4 linked regions of the Rattus norvegicus genome follow. The protein of the gene in region 2 purifies or fractionates together with the protein of the main gene of each other region. This does not show direct contact. Links are inferred from orthologs where the notes say so. Each region holds a gene or a part of one and is shown on either strand. Other genes may lie near its edges.

Evidence for each region. The genes of interacting proteins can lie anywhere in the genome.
Region 1: the proteins of Sesn2 (region 2) and Mios purify together in Homo sapiens (affinity purification with western blotting; 5 studies listed by BioGRID and IntAct, with this or other methods). This does not show direct contact. The link is inferred for Rattus norvegicus from reciprocal best matches to the Homo sapiens genes SESN2 and MIOS.
Region 3: the proteins of Sesn2 (region 2) and Wdr59 purify together in Homo sapiens (affinity purification with western blotting; 4 studies listed by BioGRID and IntAct, with this or other methods). This does not show direct contact. The link is inferred for Rattus norvegicus from reciprocal best matches to the Homo sapiens genes SESN2 and WDR59.
Region 4: the proteins of Sesn2 (region 2) and Sqstm1 purify together in Homo sapiens (affinity purification with western blotting; 3 studies listed by BioGRID and IntAct, with this or other methods). This does not show direct contact. The link is inferred for Rattus norvegicus from reciprocal best matches to the Homo sapiens genes SESN2 and SQSTM1.

Annotation. Positions count from the first base shown.
Region 1 is NC_086022.1:37,243,035-37,248,081, reverse strand, and holds part of Mios (GATOR complex protein MIOS), read right to left. Parts: intron 3,486-5,047; coding exon 3,316-3,485; intron 1,340-3,315; coding exon 1,274-1,339; intron 356-1,273; coding exon 197-355; intron 1-196. UniProt on the Homo sapiens protein: As a component of the GATOR2 complex, functions as an activator of the amino acid-sensing branch of the mTORC1 signaling pathway. The GATOR2 complex indirectly activates mTORC1 through the inhibition of the GATOR1 subcomplex.
Region 2 is NC_086023.1:149,987,472-149,992,518, forward strand, and holds part of Sesn2 (sestrin-2), read right to left. Parts: intron 4,866-5,047; coding exon 4,715-4,865; intron 4,284-4,714; coding exon 4,165-4,283; intron 3,883-4,164; coding exon 3,692-3,882; intron 845-3,691; coding exon 700-844; intron 1-699. UniProt on the Homo sapiens protein: Functions as an intracellular leucine sensor that negatively regulates the mTORC1 signaling pathway through the GATOR complex. In absence of leucine, binds the GATOR subcomplex GATOR2 and prevents mTORC1 signaling.
Region 3 is NC_086037.1:56,336,899-56,341,945, forward strand, and holds part of Wdr59 (GATOR2 complex protein WDR59), read right to left. Parts: intron 3,793-5,047; coding exon 3,659-3,792; intron 2,987-3,658; coding exon 2,905-2,986; intron 799-2,904; coding exon of another isoform or gene 616-798; exon of another isoform or gene 1-615. UniProt on the Homo sapiens protein: As a component of the GATOR2 complex, functions as an activator of the amino acid-sensing branch of the mTORC1 signaling pathway. The GATOR2 complex indirectly activates mTORC1 through the inhibition of the GATOR1 subcomplex.
Region 4 is NC_086028.1:35,026,954-35,032,000, forward strand, and holds part of Sqstm1 (sequestosome-1), read right to left. Parts: intron 2,489-5,047; coding exon 2,268-2,488; intron 2,066-2,267; coding exon 1,870-2,065; intron 440-1,869; coding exon 282-439; 3' UTR 1-281. UniProt on the Homo sapiens protein: Molecular adapter required for selective macroautophagy (aggrephagy) by acting as a bridge between polyubiquitinated proteins and autophagosomes.

The DNA of each region.
Region 1 (5,047 bases), on a different chromosome or scaffold from region 2:
GACTACAAGAAAAACCTGGATAAGCTAATGAGGTGATTAGGGCCAGTAAGATGAAACACACTGTCAACAGAACGATGCAGTCAAAGTGCAAACTCAAAATCCATGTGTAGGGGGGAGCATATGGCCTTTAGTGAGGAAACACGGATCATGTGGAATGAGGCCGGGTTTTTTGAAGCCAGTGTCACCCCACACTAACCTGTAACATGCAGTAGCTTGCTGTTTGGACATCTCCAGTTCTGTCCACATAACTCTCCATCAGGTCCACTCCATCTTTAGTGAGGCCGGTCAGCAAGATGCCTTCCAAATTCCCAGCCTCTTTCATTTCATTGGTCAGCTTTTCAATGTATTTATTTAACTGAAAAATTCATAGTGATTGTTCTGATACAATCTGTTTCACTACATATTTTATAGCTGAGAATTACTATATTTAGAACAATTTTATTCTTGATGGAAATGATTTTAGGTCAGAAACCCTTGCCAAACTCTAATATGTGCTGAGAAGTCTACATCAATTTCAAGTTTCAATATAGTATCTATCCACAATCAATTTAGTTTTGTGTGGCATGTGTGCCCTAGGACAAGTACACAATGCTGTACTCAGGTTTTTCACGGGCTCTAGGGGATTCAATTCAGGTGCCTTGAACTTGCACAGTGAGCACCTTAATGACAGTGCTATCTCCCTAGTTCCCACAATCACTTAAAAAACTGTAGGACATTTCCTATGTTTATAGGTGGCTAATGAGAGAAATGTCCTCTTTTCAGCAAGTTCTTGTCTATTATGGTAGTATATAACAGTATCACAGAATCAGAACTATATGTTTATAATCATCAATAAAAACTATTTCCTTTCCACAGTCTCACTTCATCCCATGCAAACTCCAGCCTGCATTCCTCCACATTTCCCTATCACCTGTCACTATTTACAGCACCGCTAGCCATCTGTGTGCATTCCATCCTCACTACCCTCAGAGGCAGCAGGTAAGTGTGAATATACTGAAAACGGTTCCTGTGTATCACATTACTAAAACCTGAGTTTAAAATTTGTATCTGCTGAGTTTTCTTCAAAATGCAAAAATAAACTAAAACATCAACTCAACATTCTAAAACAAATTTAGTTATTACATGCCTATTTATAATTTCAATATAATAACTGCCTTCTTAGATTTTATATAGAAATCTTATAGGCACATAATTACATGTAAAGATTAGTTTCTTAAGAATAATTCATAGTAAACATTAATCATCTCAAATATAGATTTGAATCAGTTCTCACCTGAGCATCACCAAGGAATTTACAAGCAAATGCCACTCTGTCCCGTACAGCAACTTTGTTTTCATACTGAGGGGCGGGGAGGGGGGAGAGGAGGAGATAATTATACATGCCATTTATTTATAAGTTTATTTTCAAATGTATTACAAAGGTACTGATCAGATGCTGAAAAAAATCAATTGCCAAAGAAGCCTTTCTGATGTTATCATTAGGAAACACAGTACAAAGGTCATTGTCCTGAACAGTAAAGATTTATCTTTCAAACAGACCTACCTAATTCAGTTATATAGATGTAAAAAAGCAGGCCGTTTTCTAACACTAACATAAACTATAACTAGATGTCATGTAATTTCTCTCAAAGCAATTAATTTTAGAAACAGCTACATAAAAATTAGTCACCAAACCTAGAAAAATCTATGACCTGGGTATACCAGTACAGATTTAAAATATTAATAACTTGGGGTTACAAAGATGACTCAGTGGTTAAGAACACCGGGTACTCTTCCAGAGGATCCCGGTTTGATTCCCCAGCACCCACATGGTGGCTCACAAACACCTGCAACTCCAATTCCCAGGGATCCAATGCTTACATCTGGCTGGTCTCCTTAGACAATACTAACATATGGAGCAGACATACATCCAGGCAAAATGTGCATACACATAAAAGAAAAATAAACCTACCTTTTAAAAGCCTACCTATAACTCTTAATGCAAAACCTAAGACTTGTAAACTGACACCCTGTCTCATACTGCTATCTGAGTGGTTTGCAATAGGATAATTAGAGGTAGCATTTTATTCATCAACATTATTTGAAAATTTACTTTGATAATGTTACTATAAATTTAGAAAGTTCCAACAAATTTTGCATTAAGAAAAAATTAATTTATAGGTAGCAAAAAGATGGCTTTCTATCAAAGTCTTTCTTTGAAGGAGTTTTCCTTCTTAAAATCTAATATTCTTTTCATTGATACTCATTACCGTTCCTCAATTATAAAATGAAACTCTATCTTTAAGAAGTGAGTAAGCTCTTCGACTCAGTTGCATGTGCTACAAAAACAAATGGGTTTATCAAAAAATTGGGTCCATTTTATATCTGAGAAAACTAGAGCCCTAAAAGTTAACTGAATAGCTAAGGTTAAACACTGTGGCAGAATAAAGACTTGAGCCTTTTCTGACTTCTAAAGTCAGTATGTATGTACTTATGGTAAAATATAAAAAAATAAAATTACGTAGACATTAAATTAAATACATTCTTAAAAAGTTTGGATATATGAATTTCCTTCTCAGCTCTCGCTGTGGGGATAAGAGAAGGGATCTTATTATAGGTCACTAATTAAATACAGAAATGTAATATTTAAACATTAAGCAATCAGTTCATTTCCTTTTCGACTCTATCACTCTCTAGCTCATGCTGAAAGTTTACTGTTAGCTCAAACACAACAATTAAAATCTTCTGTTTAACAAATGTAGTAATAAGTTTATGATAAATCAATAAAATATATGCTTTTACAGATCTTATAGAATGACAACCACTGAAACAATATACGTCTTATAAACCTTAATAAAGAAAGTTCTTTTCATTACTGGAAAGATGACAAACAGTACAAAGCAAAGTGGCTTTAATGTTTTAAGTTAACAACTGAAATGGATAGGGAAACCTCACTTCATTCTTTCCTCAGTTATGACAAGGGACATGTGACATGTTTATATAGTGACTAAATCAGGAAAGAAACAAAGAGACCTGAAAAACTGAATAAAATACAGATTAGTATAATTAGCATGATTACATGGTTTTCCAAACAGGACTTGTCTCAAAATGACTGTCTATTTAAGATGTAAAGACACCTTAGCCAAAACTAACTGAGTGAACATCAGCTGTCCTCGCATGCAGGCACGCACACAGTATTAAAACAGTAAATACATGTTATGTGTTTACAGTTGTTTTTCGGTAAAGCGTGAAACAGTTTTAGTACTGTATTAACAAAACTATAAAAAAGCAACCCTATTAATTTAAAGGAGGATCTGGGGAAACAAACTAACTCACCAAAACTCCGTCATAGGCCCCTGCTTCACTTGTCAGAAATGCAAACATGACACACAGATAGGGGTTGTTGAGCTGCAAGCGTAGTGTGCTGCACATCTCCCTCCACAGGGAGTTCTTCTCGTCCGTATACCCTGATAAAGCCATTGCCACCACATTGAGATTCAGATCTCCTGCAGGTTAAGAGTACACAGCTAGTCAAAGTTAACAGAAGCTTAAGAGCCCCCTTCCCCATAGTTCTTAAATCCTCAACAGTGACCAAAGGGTGAATTTGCATAAAAAATTAAAACTGTTAAATTTGGTTGAGTACAAAGAAAAAATACATTCTTAAAAACAACTCATATACACATGCATGAAAAGACTGTGCAGTTAAGTACTTTCCCCCACAGTACTGGAGACTGAACTCAGAATCCCACTGGCATGCTCTACTGAACTACTTCCACAGCAGCGAGAAATGGTTAACTTTCAAGTTCTTGGTCCAGCAGTTTCTTATGCTGTTGTACAATTACCTGGTATAGAAATGGAAACAGTGACACCACCTCACTAAAATCCCTGCCAGCGGTACCAGGAAGGTCATCACGCTATGGCAGAGTATTGAAAGTAATGCTACTTTACCACATGATCATAATTGCAAAGGTTTCTTTTTTCCTACTTCTAATGATATCCTGATGTACAAAGAGTCAACTGGAGGAAAAAACAGTATTTTGGTATTTTTATTTTAATATACTTAGAAAAACTTCTAGGCCAAAAAGAGCTATCAGAATTGTCACAAAACTGCATGTAGACACGTTCACACAAAGCATTCCTTACCAATGACTTTTTTTTTTAAAGATTTATTTATTTATTTTGTGTATGAGTACACTGTAGCTGTCTTCAGACACACCAGAAGGGGAGGGACATCAGATCCCATTACGGATGGTTGTGAGCCACCATGTGGTTGCTGGGAATTGAACTCAGGACCTCTGGAAGAGCAGTCGGTGCTCTTAACCACTGAGCCATCTCTCCAGCCCACCAATGACTTTTTTAAACAGTTGTTCCGGGTGGACAGTGCTGCTATGAAGCTGTCAACCAGCTCTTCAGTTCTGCATGGCCTTCTAAGCTTCACTCCACAGGAGAAAGCTATGCTCTCTGAAACACAGCCTTTCTTACACTTTTCTTATGGCTCTTGATTCTAACCATTCTTCCATTTCTAATTAAAACAATACTCCCACTTTCTGTTCTTAATAGCCTTATTATTCACTTTTACAAAAATGCCTAGTCTACTATAAAGTTTGAAAATCTTTTAAACTGAAAGCATACAAATACCAAACTTTCCAGGTATACATGATAAGAAAGTATTCTTTCAGGTTGCAGCAAAATTAAATTAGAAATAGAATCCCTCTGGGGGTAGAGGGTGCTGCATGCTGATCCCACAGTCTCATATATGTTCTTCTTTTTTAATGGCACTACATACCTCTCAAACTGTCAAGTACAGAGGCTTTCCCTGAAGCACAAGCAAAGACGCTCAGGGCAAAGCATTAACTTTTTTAACTTTAGAATGAAACTAAATATATTACAGTCAATTTTATGTTTTTTTTAGAATAGAATAAAACTAGAATGAACTAGAATAGGTTAAAAGTTGGCCAGAACAAGTAAGAATTCAGTACTCTAAGCACTCAGAAATAATTTTCTACATGTATTAAATATAAATAGCAATATACCCTTTAGGAATGTAAGTGAACTACACCTGAAAATC
Region 2 (5,047 bases):
AGTGAAGTCTGGTGCAATGACTAATGCTTTACCCCACGGGTCTGAAAAAAGAGCTACCAGCTTAACTGGTGCTAGGGCAGGATCAAATGTTTCCATACATAGTCTCCTTGTGTCTTCCCAACTTTGAAATGCTGGCAGTGTCCCTTGCCATTATAAAGGGGAGACGCGGGGTTGGGGATTTGGCTCAGTGGTAGAGCGCTTACCTAGGAAGCGCAAGGTCCTGGGTTCAGTCCCCAGCCCCATAAAAAAAAAAAAAAAATAAAGGGGAGACGCTCAAAGGTAACTTGTCCTATGTGAGGATTTAGATCCACTCCTATGACTGGGGGTGGTGGTGGTGGCGGCACACGCCTTTAATCCCATCACCTAGGAGACAGAGGCAGGCAGATCTCGTGAGAGTTCATGGCCAGCCTGGCATAGAGAGTGAGTTCCAGGACAGTCGAGGCTACACAGAAAAAAGTCTCAAAAAAATAAAAAACCAAACAAATAAAAAAATCTGCATCTATGCCCACGTAGCCTGTGGAAGACAGGCACCTGACTGCCCAATTTAACTGAAGTCTGAAATTACACCGTAGAATCGAATCTGAACAAAGATAACAGGCCAGGGTGTCACACCTCGTAGGACAGACCCACAGTGTGGCCCTCACCGGGTTCTAACCTCTGACTCTTCTCCAGCCCCTCCCACACCCACGCTGCCATCACCTTCTCTGAGTGGCGGAAGTGCCTCCAAAAGAGGTTGTACATTCTGCGGGTCGTCTTCTCCGGGTAGCAGGCAACCGTCTTGATATAGATCTTGAGGTTCCTTTCCAGGAGCTGGTTTACCTCTCCATAATCATAGTCATCATATCTGATGGACAGACAGACACGACAGCATTACTCAGAGTCTGCTCCCAGAAGCAGCCCGGCTCCCCTGCCCCCACCCCATAGAAGGAGGAACAGAGTGCCCAGAAGAAGGAGAAGGTAGGAAGCCGTGAGAGGCCTGGTTCCTCTTAGAAAAACAGCTGACATCACGGGTCATAGGTGACAAGGCTCGTAGAGGAACACTCCAAGTAACGCTGACAAGCATGCGCTACCGAGCTCTGACTGTCTCCAGTCACGGACCCGCAAAGGCAGATACTCCGGTGGTACACGATAAATGGAGTTCATCAGAAGCAAGCAAATTGGCAGTGTCGAGAAGCCACTCCCCTCTCCCTCCCTGGTCTCGTTCATGTGTGTGCATGGGAAAAAAGGCAGGAAGGAAACGCCTGGTAATAATAAAATTAGGCGCTCTCCTGAAGAGTGTCGCTGGGTTTTACAGTTGTTTGGAGAGTCCTGTAGCCCAGCTCCTGAACTTGTTAAATAGCCACAGATGGCCGTGAACTCCTGATCTTCCTGTCTTGGCCTTTCCAGTGCTGAGATTGCAGGTGTACACAAAAATAAATCAATCAAAAGAAAGAAATAAAGAAAAGAAAAGACGGGGCTGGGGATTTAGCTCAGTGGTAGAGCGCTTACCTAGGAAGCGCAAGGCCCTGGGTTCGGTCCCCAGCTCCGAAAAAAAGAACCAAAAAAAAAAAAGACAACAGGAAGAAAAAGCCAGGAGCCAGGTAATCAGCTCACACCCACAATCCCAGCACTAGAGACACTAAGACAGACTGCTAGGAGTTCAAGGTTCACCTGGGCTGTCATGAGACATCTCAAGAACAAACAAACAAACAATATAGTTGTCTCTATATCTCTTAGATAAGTCATGTTATTTTGGGCATTTAACTATAAGAACACCTGTTGTCCTCGGTTAGATTCTGTTCCACCGTGTGCGGGAGAGTGGTCAGTGTGGACAGTGTTTATAAGAGTAAAAACTGGGGGGTTGGGGATTTAGCTCAGTGGTAGAGCGCTTGCCTAGGAAGCGCAAGGCCCTGGGTTCGGTCCCCAGCTCCGGAAAAAAAACAAAGATCATAGTCAGCTCTTCCAGAGGTCCTGAGTTTAAGTACCACTACCACATAGGCTCACAATCACTTGTAATTGCATCTGATGCCCTCTTCTGCCATGAAGGCAGAGGTGCAAAGAAAGCACTCCTCACAGACATAAATAATAAATCTTTTAAAAAAGAACACTTGGCGATCATCCAGAGGACACAAGTTCAGTTTCCAGCACCCATGTCAGGTGGTTCCAGGTGCAGGGGATCTGATGCCCTCTTCTGGAAAGCTTAGGCACCCACACGTGCATGGCATGCACTCACACAGACACAGACACGTGGATAAAAATAAATGAAAGTGGGGTTGGGGGTTTAGCTCAGTGGTAGAGCGCTTGCCTAGCAAGCGCAAGGCCCTGGGTTCGGTCCCCAGCTCCGAAAAAAAAAAAAAAAAAAAAAAGAGTAAAAACTGCTGAGGGTGGTGGTGGCCTATTATCTCAGCACCAGGGTGGTCAAAGAGGCAGAGGGGTCCCAGGGAGCTAACAGAGCCTCTGAGACTCCTTCTTGGCAGTGGGGAGAGGGGAGGAGGTAGGAAAGGGGGAAAAAGAACAAAAGGAAAACCAAATCAACTTCGAGAAGAACCCTCAATACTCAACAGTAAATAGCACATCACTCTAAAAAAGGCCTTCCTCAAAAACCAGTCAGCGGACAGGCGAGATGGCTCAATGGTTAAAGGAGCTTGCCGTCAAGACTGATGACCCAAGTTTGATCCCTGGGCTCCAAATGGTGGAGAGAACCAACTCCAGTAAGTTTCTTTCTGACCTCTACATATATGTTGTGCCACACACACACGTGTGTGTGTGTGTGTGTGTGTGTGTGTGTGTGTGTGTGCGCGCGCGCGCACAAACATACAAAGAAAATATATACATAATTGTTTTGAAATCAGGAAAAGACTTGACAAGATAAAATTTAGCTCACAACATTATTCTGTGTACATGACCACTGTCCACATGCCTGGCTCTCAGGTATAATTTTCACGAGTTGCATAATAGATTATGAATGGAAATATCCTTATTTAAAGTACTCTGCTGTGCATATCTGTGTTGTCCTTATTTACTGTGAGAAAAGATAACGCTATTGGAAATTTACACGTGACTCTGGGTATCGTGCACATACGTATGCACATGTTTCTGTATGTGCATAGGTGTGTGAATACACACACAAAAACATGAAATCATAAGCTGGAGTACGTCTTTGGTGGAGTAGGTCTGTAAGCCCAGCAGCTAAGAAGCTAAGGCAGGAGGATTGTCCCAAGTTCAAGGTTAGCCTGAACCATACATGTTCTAGGCTAGTTGAGGTGACATCCCAAGACATCAAAAACAAATAAGTGGGGCTGGGGATTTAGCTCAGTGGTAGAGCGCTTGCCTAGAAAGCGCAAGGCCCTGGGTTCAGTCCCCAGCTCTGAAAAAAAGAACCAAAAAAAAAAAAAAAAAAAGTAAAGTGACATAAAACAACACAAAATAAAATAAAACAAAGGGTGCTGCCCGTCTAGCACGCACAAGGTCGTGGGTTCAATCCTGAGTGCTGCATAAGCAAACAGAGCAAAGCCTAGTTATGCCTGGGAGAGTGTATTACAGAGCCTGCGCACTGAGCATTCTTACTAGCTTTAAACCTGCAAAGGCATAAACGTGGTGGCCTGAAATTTTATTAGAGCCAAGAAGACAACAAGAACTAAAAATGACAGTGAGCCCAGGGAAGACTTGGGGGACACACGCGACCTGAGCTTGGGGCGGGGCACGTACTCACCTGATACCAAAGACGCAGTGGATGTAGTTCCAGACGGCTCTGCGGAGCATGGAGGTGTCTACGCCACTGTGCATGGCGATGGTGTTATAGGTGAGGCTGTAGGCTACCTGAAACTTCTCATCCAGCAGCTGCCCTCCCTCGGGGTAGAGCCGCTGGATCAGCGAGTAGCCATGGTCTTCCCAGGTATAATCCTGAGGAATGGGGGAAGAGGTCTGTGAGCAAGACTTGGGAAGGCCGTGGCTGGCCAGAGATCTGTTGTCCTCTGCACGAGTAGGAGTCACACCTTAGCTTTGCCTCATATGCCTTCCCTCAACCACAGATCTCAACCTGGGCGATGACCTCCCATCCCACAAGAGGGACCTTTCGGGTCTCCACTGCCCTCACGAGTTTTTGAGGGGAGACAGTATCCTACTTAGGACCGCTTGAAGTACCTGCCCCCACGTCTGTATAACATCTGAAACAATGAACAACACCTGGGCACGAAAGGTTGGGGGGGCCTGAGTCCCTCGACGAGTGAAGTCTTCATATCCAAACGTGGGGTCCTCTACAAAGCATAGGATGTCTGGGTGTGGAGAGGGCTCCAGAATATCCGCTGAGGGCCACATCAGAAAGAGGGGACAGTGAGACTGGGCAGAACACAACAGGATCCCCACCATCAGGGAGTGGGGAGGGTGAGGGGGGGAATACAGCAGGGGCCACAGAGAGCCCCTCCCCACACTAAGTAGGAGGGTGTTAGCTAGAGCCGCTGGAAGGAGGCAAGCGTCAAACCAGCCCCCTAGCCCCCCGCAACAGTAATAGTGTCAGTTTTATAGAATGGCTCAATCTGGGGAAGAAACTTGGCCCATCTACCTCACCCAAGCCCTGAAGCGCTAACAGACCAGGATTCAAAGGCAAGTCTGAACACAAGGCCGGTGCTCAGAACCTCTTGAAAGGAGAAGGCAAAGCGTGTGGAGGCATCTGCTCCCATCAGAAGTGTAAAGAGAGAGGCAGCAGCCCCTAGCACTGGCGCCTGTGAGCCTGTACCTGAGGGGGTCACCAGCAGGCTTTCCGTCTTCTCCAGCTCAAAACGGTTCTCCATTTCCTCCTGGGAAGCCCCCTCATCCCGCAGGAGGCTCTCCTGAAGCTGCCTCATGCGTTCCATCAGAGCTTCTATGTCACGGGCGGCTTCAAAGCCCTGTAGGAAGGACCCAGTAATTACCATCTACTCCCTCATGGCCCTCTGGGAGACTCCACTCCGTTCCTCCACACCCCAGGCCACCACACTGGGCAGCTCACGTAGCTAGCCTGTGAATCTACACTCACAAAGCAGACCAGTGGCCTTGAACTCACAGAGCTCTGCCTGCCTCTGCCTCCCAG
Region 3 (5,047 bases), on a different chromosome or scaffold from region 2:
CCTAGCCTGCACTACACGGCAAACCCCATCTCCTCAAACTAAAATAAGTAAGGAAAACCTTCCATTAAGCAAGCTTCAGAGATAAACAGTATCACAACTCAAGGGGCCAGCTCTTCGGCACTCTTGGCCTCTTCTGATGCTTCATTGGTGAACTGGATTGGCAGAGAGCAGAGCAGTCCACAACCCACTGAGGACCTGGTCTTTGTGCAATGGCTAGAGAACACTGTCACCTCCATTACGAAAGTTTTAGGGCCCTCTTGAAGCTAAAGAACAGGCCAAGAACTAAACAACCTTGGCTTTGTTTATGTTGACATGAAGTCTGATAGTCACCCAGGCCTCAAACCTTATGGGGCTTAGAATCACCACACTAATGTCCATTAAATGTCTATTAAGCCCAAGGCCTTCACTACCCATCAGAAAGAGCCCCAACCCCTTGAGACCCTTCAGAAAATTGAATATTACTTTTGGAAAATCTCTTCTGTTTTGTTTGGCTCAGGAAAAGCAATACAGTCATTGGAATACACCACTCTAAACCCAAAAGGAAGAAGACACGAACTTTGAATCAAGTCTATAATTTGAGATGAGCAAGTAAATACAAATGCCAGAAGGCAAACATTAGATGTGTAAAATACTAGCGTGACGGCAACATGCTGAAAGCGACGTACAAGTCTCTCTCCAAGGAGAGACAGCAGGACAGATGTTCTGCCGTGGCTGACGATTGAGTTGTGTTAGTGTCTCCCTCCATAATGCACATTTCCTAAAGGGTTTCCACAGAAGGGCGCCCTTGCATTTGTTTCTCTGGTAAATGTGAGGGACACAAAACAGGAAGCATATCTTTATCAAAGGCAGGAAGAAAAACAATAAAATTCTTGGAGCACTCATTGTCGCTCGGGTAATTTCTGTCTTTAAACATCAAGTTATGAACAACAATCGCTGAACAGCTGTGGAAATATACAATACAGAAAGCAGGCATTTCCAGTGATCAGACGGCTAGAAGTCACAAAGTTTACTTCTTTTATTATCTAATGAAGTCAGAAGTATTGCACTGTTTATTTTATAGCAGGGACTCTGAGGCTCAGAAAGCCTGAGCAGCTTGCTGGGGATCACACACAGAAAAAGTGCTAGGGCCCAGAAGTCAAGCAGGGGGTGCCTGAAGACAAGAGTCTCCCCATCACTGAGACTGGTCTAGCTTTCTATACCAATTCTGTCAGAAAAGCACTGGGGGAGAGGGGGAGGAGCTAGGGAGAGGGAAAAGAAAAAGGAAGCAGGGGAGTGGAGAGAAGGAAGAAGAGAGAGAGAGAGAGAGAGAGAGAGAGAGAGAGAGAGAGAGAGCGAGCGCGCAGAGAGGTGCAGAAGAGAATAAGGAAGAGGGAGAGAACTCCCTACTGAGAGAATGTTCTGTTCTTTGGGGCTATGGAGCAGCCTTCACTGATCTCACCAACCCCATGGAGGAAATTCTTCTGGTTCTCACACTATAAACTCCCTCAAAGGCTGAGGGCCTGAGATAACTTGCCTGGGGTGTTTTCTAGGACTCTGAGCTGGCCTTGGCCTCCACTGTAAATTCCACGCTGTTCCTATTAGCTCATTTTGCCTTCTTAGTGTTCAGTCTGGTGGGTGGGGCTGACAGAAATAGATTAAATCCATGAGGGAGTTTTTCTTTAAAGGGTTTCCGGGAGAGATGATGTGATATTCATTACTAGATGAATGGAAATCTTAGGGATGTTTTTAATCAAATGAAAATCAAGAAAAGGCCTTAGTGTTGATTCATTTAGTTATGAGGGAAAGCAGTGAGCTGCTGGGAGACCTGCTAGTCACTTCCAAAGCTCAGTCTAGCAATCAACTAGAGAACAGAGAGAAAGAAAGACAGGAAGCAGTTGGCGGTTGCCCAGGACTGATGGGAAGAACCGACTGAAGGACAATGGTTTCTTCTATGGATGATAAAAAACACTTTGAGCAGTTTCTAATGAGAGCTCTGACAACACTAGATACACTAAGTATCACATTTTAAGTGGGCAGACTCGTGATGTGCAGACTGAGTCTCAATAAAAGAGAACAAGCCATGAGAACCACAGAGATGAAGGAAACTGACATCTTATAAATGTCATATATTATTATTTAAATATTTACTACTATGTTAAAAGCAAGAATGTTTTGCCTTCGGGTATGAATATCATGCACATGCCTGGTGCCAGAGGAGGACGGAAGAGGGGGTTGGATCCCCTGGAACTGGAGTTAGAGATGTGAGACACCACACGAGTGCTGGGAATTGGCCTTCTATCAGAGCAGCCAACGCTCCAGCCACCTTTCCATCTCTCCAACCCCCTGAACTGAACATCTCTACCTTGAAATACATTCTGGTAAACCTTATGAAATATTTTTTTAAAAGTTTCAAAAAGTAATTGAGGTGAAATGACAAAGGTACAGATCCTCAAATTTAGGTGACAATAATCACTGTGGCATTGAAATAGAAAGTTTAAGAAAAAAAAGCCACTTCAGGATCTTCCCACAATTTTAAAAAATTACCCACAGGTGGCAGTGGTGGGGCTTCCCTATAATCCCAGTACTCAAGAGGCAGAGGCAGGCAGATCTGAGCTAGAGGCCAGCCTGGTCTACAGAAGAAGTTCCAGGAGAGAGAGAAAGAGAGAGAGAGAGGAAGAGAGAGAGAGAGAGAGAGAGAGAGAGAGAGAGAGAGAGGGGAAGGAGGAGGAGGAAGAAGAGGGGGAGGAGGAAGAAGAGGAGGAGAGGGGACAGGGGACAGGGGACGAGGGAGGAGAGGGAGGCTGCTGAGTCCTACAGGCTGTCAAAGAAAATAAAAAAGAAACTTCAAATAGGGGGCACACGCTATGAGCATCACTAACTGACAGCTGTCAAGGCCAGAACCTCGCCAACAGGGAATGATAATACCTGGACGAGATCCTTCCTTCCAACAAGCATGGCAGAAGTAGCATTCTTCTGACACGTCTCCTGAGTATCGTTCACATTCAATCTGAAATTAAAACAGAAAAGACTAAGAAGGTTTCTACTCGAATTTCCCAAGAATTCCTCCTGATTTAACAGCCTAGAAAGTGCCTCTTTGGTTGTCACTCACGACACCTCCTCTGACAGGGAGGGAAGGGTTAATTAGATCTGGTGCTATAGGGCTGTGGGTTCCCCCCTGGGGGACCAGAAACACCCACCACTTTCAGGAGGTGGCAATAAGAAAAATACTAATTAGCTACCAGCCTTTCTGTTGAGTTCACAAGGTCTGGGATTTAAATATGTGCAAACCAACTGTGATTTCCATCAGAAAAGTATTGTGCTGGGAGTATTCTGTTATGTGTTCAAGGACCTGGAGGACCTACAGGCCAGCCTCCACTCCCTACTGTCTTTCAATACGAGAAGGATTTAACAATACAAGAAGGGTCTAAGTCCAGGCTTGCTGGACCCTGAGCATCGGAGGAGACCATTTATGGGCCGAGGTCATGCTTTCAGTCAGGTGAGAGCCTGTACCTGACCTGCAGAGACAGTGAGGTAGGAAATGAAGCCACAGTCTGGTAATTTGTGAGTCACCAACAGAAAGCTAACACACCCACCGTGTTTCCCCAAATCATCCAAAGCTTTAAAAAGACCCGCAGGTCCTAAGGGACACGCTCGGTGTCATCTGTGACCTTGGACTTACATGTACAGCTCTCCCAGGGACTTGTGAACAGGAAGGAGGCACGAGACATCCTGGATGATGACCTTCCCAGCGGCCTTAATGGGTCGGTTGCCAGAGTCGGAGCCCTCCCGCTTACTTTTCCACCGCCTTGATTTCTAGGGGAGATGACAAGATGTGACTAATGGGGCCTCCGGAGAGTGGAAACCTACAGTTGCAGAGTACATCATATTTGGGTCATTGGTAATTTGCAGAGACTCTAAATTACATCATGCCCACAATTACATGAATCAGCATCTGTAGGAAGTAAAAGGTAACCAAAGGCCCAGAGCTCCTGACCCCAGACCCTCACAGGGAACGGAGCACCTGCTGGAGGGCCATTACGCTGGGCAGGTATTCAAAGCAGGTACTAGGAAGCCAGAATTAATTAACTTAAAAACAGCAGGTAAAGAAGTTAGTAAAGACCCCCCACAAATGGGATGGGGGGGCTTTAGGGTGTTCAGTACTAGGTTTAAAGTTCTTGCCTGAAACGATTCAAAGACTTTTTTTTTTCTTCGTAGACAGTTCAGGAGGGTTTGTTGGTATTTTAATTCAGACACGACAGTGTGGGCTCTGCAAACTTTAACGTATGAAGACAGAGACACTTGGCAGCATAAGAATTGCCTTGTTTTTGGAGCAGGCCTGAATTATTTCTACAAGCGGTCATTTCTGAAGGTCAAAGACACTTAGTTGGGGAAACTGAGTAAAAGACATGGGAGACCATGGGCACGTTTCGGCTCCCAGAGCTGTCCCGGGAAGTGGCTGTGAGGAATGAGAAATGTCCTGGGAAACGGAAAGTAACAGTGTCGTCCTATCTGGTATCTTCAAAAGGACAACCAGTCATGGGAGCAATGTCCTATTTTATTTCCAAAAGTTGAAAGAGGTCACCAAAGTCACTTGACTGAGTAAGGGAGCAGCACATTTATTAACAGGAGAGGCATAAGGACCAATTAAAAAGGGGCTTACAATCTGACAGCAGAAAACTAAGGTACAAGCGTTCTGGCTTAATATGGCCATAGGCAATTTAACCCTAGTTAATCACTTGCTGTGGATTTAGTCTCATGCCCGGCAACCTTCCTTTTGCTTCTTGGTAACCTGTGGCTATCCAATCTCATGAGGTCAGTAAGGGTAGAGTGAGAAGACAAGAGATGCAGACTGCATCAGCCTAACACTGCAACCTGAAACACTGCAGGCACTGTGAGTGCGTGGTCGGGAGCCATCGGCATCTACCTTTCCACTCCTGGGTTTGGTATAACTACTCCTTCAAGAATCCATGTCTAGGGGTTGGGGATTTAGCTCAGTGGTAGAGCGCTTGCCTAGCAAGCGCAAGGCCCTGGGTTCGGTCCCCAGCTCCGAAAAAAAGAAAAGGAAAAA
Region 4 (5,047 bases), on a different chromosome or scaffold from region 2:
GCAAGTGGAGTGCAGCATGACTCCACAGCTCCCTGGCAAAGGCCAGGCCGAGGGAAAGCAGCGGAAGCCCAGCCACAGCTGCTTGGATCTGTGCTCAGGGGTCAGCATGTGCACACTCAGACTCTCTTCTCATGCACTTTCCTACTGCCTAAGAAGGCCTCACAGTCCCACCTGAAGGTTCTAGAAGAATGCCAAGACACTGGGCCTTAGAAGCCCTGCTACTCTACATGATGCAACTAGAAGACAAGGGAGGTGGGTTGTGGGACTTGGCCACAGCACTGTCACAATGGTGGAGGGTGCTTTGAATACTGGATCGTGTCCAGAGCAGCCCCGATGTCATAATTCTTGGTCTGTAGGAGCCTGGTGAGCCAGCCGCCTTCATCCGAGAAACCCATGGACAGCATCTGAGAGAGTGACTCAATCAGCCGGGGATCAGCCTCTGCCAAAGCAAGACAGGAAAGTAAGGAGCCCCGCAGCACTGAGAACAGAGCAGCTCCACCTGCCATGGAGACCCCTCTGCTTCAGCCTTACAGGAACCCTCACAGGCTGAAGGGACAAACAGCTTGCTTTGCAGACTTTCCAGTCTTGTCACAACTGTTGGTCCTGCCATTGAAGCATAAAACAGCCAGGAGCTATGTAGACAAAACAGTGCAGTTAATTCTGCTCAAGCCTGTAATCCCAACACTCGAGCTGGAAGCAGGCAACAAGACACCATCTCAAAACTAACCCTTTACAGATGATGAAATGTCCATCTCTAACTGCCTCTCTGACTCCTCCCTCTATTATTTGGCATATGTAGCATGTGTACTCATATTCATTCCCATGTGGGTGCACATGTATGTGTGAAAGTGTGGAGGCCCAGAGCCGAAGTAAGGCTCTTCCTCTATTGCTCTGTACTTGATCGAGTTAGGGTGTCTGAACCCATAGCTTACCCAATCACATAGCCAACTTGTAATGGGAGTCTGCCTGCCTCCTAAGGGCTGGGACTATAGACAGCTGACACAAATGCTCACCTTTAGCTTTTTACACGAGTTATGGGAACCCAAATTCTGGGCCTTCCTGCATGTACTTTACCCAATGAGCCAGTTCTATAGCTCCCATAACCCTGCCTTGTTTTTGTTTTGTTTTTAAACCAGGCTGTGACTCCATCCCAGAGCCTTGCACATTTAAGCTAAGCAGTCTGTCATGGGGGTACAGAGGGTGGCCTTGAACCCATGACAGAGTACCTCCCCCAGACTTACCCATGCAACGGTTTGCTGCCTCTGCTCTTTGCAAAGAAAATACTCTTTGAAGCCCAAACACCAGATGTGGCCCAGAGATGAACCACCCACTTAAACCCTGTTGCTCTGGGGTAGCCAGCTGCCTCTTCCACGGGGCATCCACTTGGGACTGCCCATCCCTGTCCAGCACTTTACACAAACTTCAGTCTGGCTTCCACTGGGGCCTTGGCTGTGGTACCTGCCAGTAAGGTTTACAACCCCCACCCCCGAGGAAAGGGTGTACAGAGTCTGAGTCCACTTCATAGCTGGTAGCCACGCAAAGCCAGCGTTGCCTTCCCTGTCCCATGTGCCTTCTCAGAACCCCTGGGCACTGACATCTAGGAATTCCTAAAAATGAGATGAGGTTACTGCTGCTTGATGCCGATGGAGTATGAACCACGTTCTAGTTTTCTCTAATGTCAGCTGGCAGTGACAGCTGTCACTGCAGGTCATGTCCTGAAGACAAGCCACCTGGAGCACTCAAAGACTAGGGCACCACCTTAACCCCCAAGCCAGGCTACCTCTTTTGTGTTGACAGGACAGGACAGGACAGGACAGGACAGGACACTGAACGCAAAGAAGGAAAAGGAAACCTCTGGTGACCACATGCCTGGTGGGAGATGTGGGTACAGGGCAGCTTCCTTCAGCCCTGTGGGGCCTTCCTGTGAGGGGTCTAGAGAGCTTGGCCCTTCCGATTCTGGCATCTGTAGAGACTGGAGTTCACCTGTGGATGGGTCCACTTCTTTAGAAGACAAATGCGTCCAGTCGTCATCCCCTCCTGAGCAGTTATCCGACTCCATCAGTTCCTGGAATACAACCTGCTGTGAGCGGCAGGGCCTGAGCCACTGACAAGTCCCAGCAAAGTGTGGCCCATTCCAGGCACTGGAGAGCTGCCTGCATAAGACCTGGGACCTCATACATGTCAGGTAAGGCTCAGGGTGCTGAAGACACACACCACAGAGACAGCAGGAGGGACAGGACCCCTCAGGCTGACGCTAGCAGACCTACCTCTGGCTGTCCCACCGACTCCAAGGCTATCTTCTTCATCTGCTCTGTCAGAGACTGAGCAGGGCCCTCCCCGGCCCCGTCAGGTTTGCTGACTTCCGAAGAGCAGCTGCTTGGCTGAGTACCACTCTTATCTTCTGTGCCTGTGCTGGAACTTTCTGCAGAGGTGGGTGTCAGGCGGCTTCTCTTCCCTCCATGTTCCACATCAATGTCAACCTCGATGCCTAGAGAGAAGGAATCAAGCTGTCAAATCCAGAGGCCTTCCTGCATCTATCTCTGGGATCTGGGATCTGTGGGCTGAGGAAGTGCTTTCAGACTCCGTCCCCAACAAAGCATACGGACTAGGGCACAAGCAGCCAGCACAAGGATAGCCACATAGCTCTAGATATGACCAGATAACTAGGTGACATGACAGACCATGTGCCAACCCCACAGACCAGAAACAAAGAGCTGAGCTTCTCCCAATCCCAGCCTTGGTAACTAACACACCATGCATCACTTTAGCCCTTTCCCTTCCTCCAAACCAGTGCCCCCAGGAGGAACCTGTTTCTCCCAACCCAATAGGAAAGCAGGCTGCAGAGGCCAGGCCAGTACTATACATGGGCAGAATGCCTAGCCATGACTGCTGGAGGCCACGACACACAAGGCCTCATGAAGTGACAATTACACCCGGACTCCAATGTTTAGCTCAGTGTGTGGCCCTGAGGCTAGAGAGCACCCAGCCAGTCTAGCAGCAGGCACATGTTTGTGGTGAGGGCTTAGGGACACAGGTTCACTTGTGCTGCTTTTCTAATAAATGAACCAAAGGACAGCACCCCACAGCTTCACCAGTTCCTTCCCAACCACACACCAACCCACCTGAGTCCCACTGTGGGCCTTTCAACCCCCACAGTCCTAGTCCCCCTGGTTCAAGTTCACATTTGTTTATTTCCTACCCTGTCAATATTTACCTTCCTTTCCCTGTCCTTTTAAGAGACAACCTTTGGCTTAAAACAAATAAAAAACTATGTAACACTATGTAAATGTGTGGATGTTGCTTGCACTGGGCTTTTGTCTTCTCTCTACTGTCAAGGCTATATCTCCCCTTCTGTATCACAGCTTCCTGAGTCTTCTCCAGAGGCTTTTACATTTTTTGTGGTTCATGGCTGTCAGGCGCCGATCAGGTCTGGCTGTTCCTTGGAGAGCATACTCAGTGGTCAGCCCTCCCCAAGGCACATGGGACTTACCCATAACATTTTCTAGCAAAGGTTCCTGACTACTCAAAGGTGGAGTTCCCAGAGGGCTGACCCTGTGAGATAGTGGTCCACGGCTTCTGATCCTAAAGACACCAGCAAGACACTGTTGGCAGGACCAGGACCATTGTCAGCTTCCAGAGGCAGGCACCAAGAAAACCCAGCTACCAGGAGCTGGTGTTCTTTGTTAGAGCATTTGGCCTCCCCTCAGCAAGGATTCTTCAGCTGTTGTCAGGCCAGTGAGGCTGAAATGCTGGGCCACTTGTCCCTTTGCTCGTTCCTGATGCCCATTTCCAGGTTGGTGCCTTAGCTTGTGTAGCAGAAAGGTCAGGTGCATCACGTACTGGACATGAAAGCCATCAGCTGGCTGAGTGGGGGCCTGGAGCTCTCTAACCAACTCTTTCTGTTGTTTTCCAGGACAGAATTTGTGTATGTGTAACCCTGGCTGCTCTGGAGCTCACTCATGTCCTAAGTACAGGTTGTGTATGTGTAACCCTGGCTGTTCTGAAACTCACTCAGGTTGGCCTCTAACTCACAGAGATCTGACTGCCTCTGCCTTTCAACTGCATGGTCCACCACAGCCCAGCTCTAACAAACTCTTATGAAAGGTTTTCTAGCTGCTTGCTCTCTTGTCCCTTGGCCTGTCACTCCCATCCTTCCTTCACAGTAGCAGGTGGAGGTCTTGCCATGGGTTTTTGTTTTTTTGACACAGGTTCTCGTTGCATAGCTCCCGGTGGCCTGGAATTCTCTATGTAGACTAGGTAGGCCTCAAATTCAGAGCTCTACCTATTTTCCTGGTGCTGGAACTAAAGGCAGGTGCCATCGTACCCAGCAGGGTCTTGCTTCTTATAAAGGTTACCTAGGTTACCTGAACTACTTCTTTTCTTCGTCTTCTTCTTCCTCCTCCTCCACTACCGCCACCACCACCACCACCACCACCACCACCACCACCACCACCACCATCATTTATGTGCATGTGGAGGTCAGAGGAGAACCTACAGGATCCAGGTTTTCCCTACCATGTGGGTGAAATGTTGCTCAGCGATGGGGTGCCTGTCTACCATACAGCTCTGGGTTCAATCTCCAGAGCTCTTAAAATGTTCAAGCCAATAAAAATGTCTCTCGAGCTGGTCCCCAACACCCACACCCAGTTTTCTAAGTACATGCAGAGCAGGAGCACGAGGGTTGTAGATTAGGGATTTCTCAAATAATAAATCCCTAAGACTGCAGAGCTTAGGAAAATTGTTTGACAGTCTGTGACCTGTTGTCCCCAAAGCCTAAGGTTTTCAAAGAACCAGTGAAGGAAGGCCCTGTGTCCCAGTGATCACAGCCTCCGAGCCACACAGTGCCCACATGCCAGTTCTTCCTTGGCTGGTTCTCATACCACCTACCAATCAATAACAGGCCCTAGCTCTGGCTCACCCAACCTCTGCCTTCTGGGAGTGCGTGCCAACTCCTTCCCCTCTAAAGTGAGCCCTGATTCTCTCCCAGCTACCACCCAATTGAAACTGCCACTTCAACCTCCTTGGACAACAATGAAAACCTGGTTCT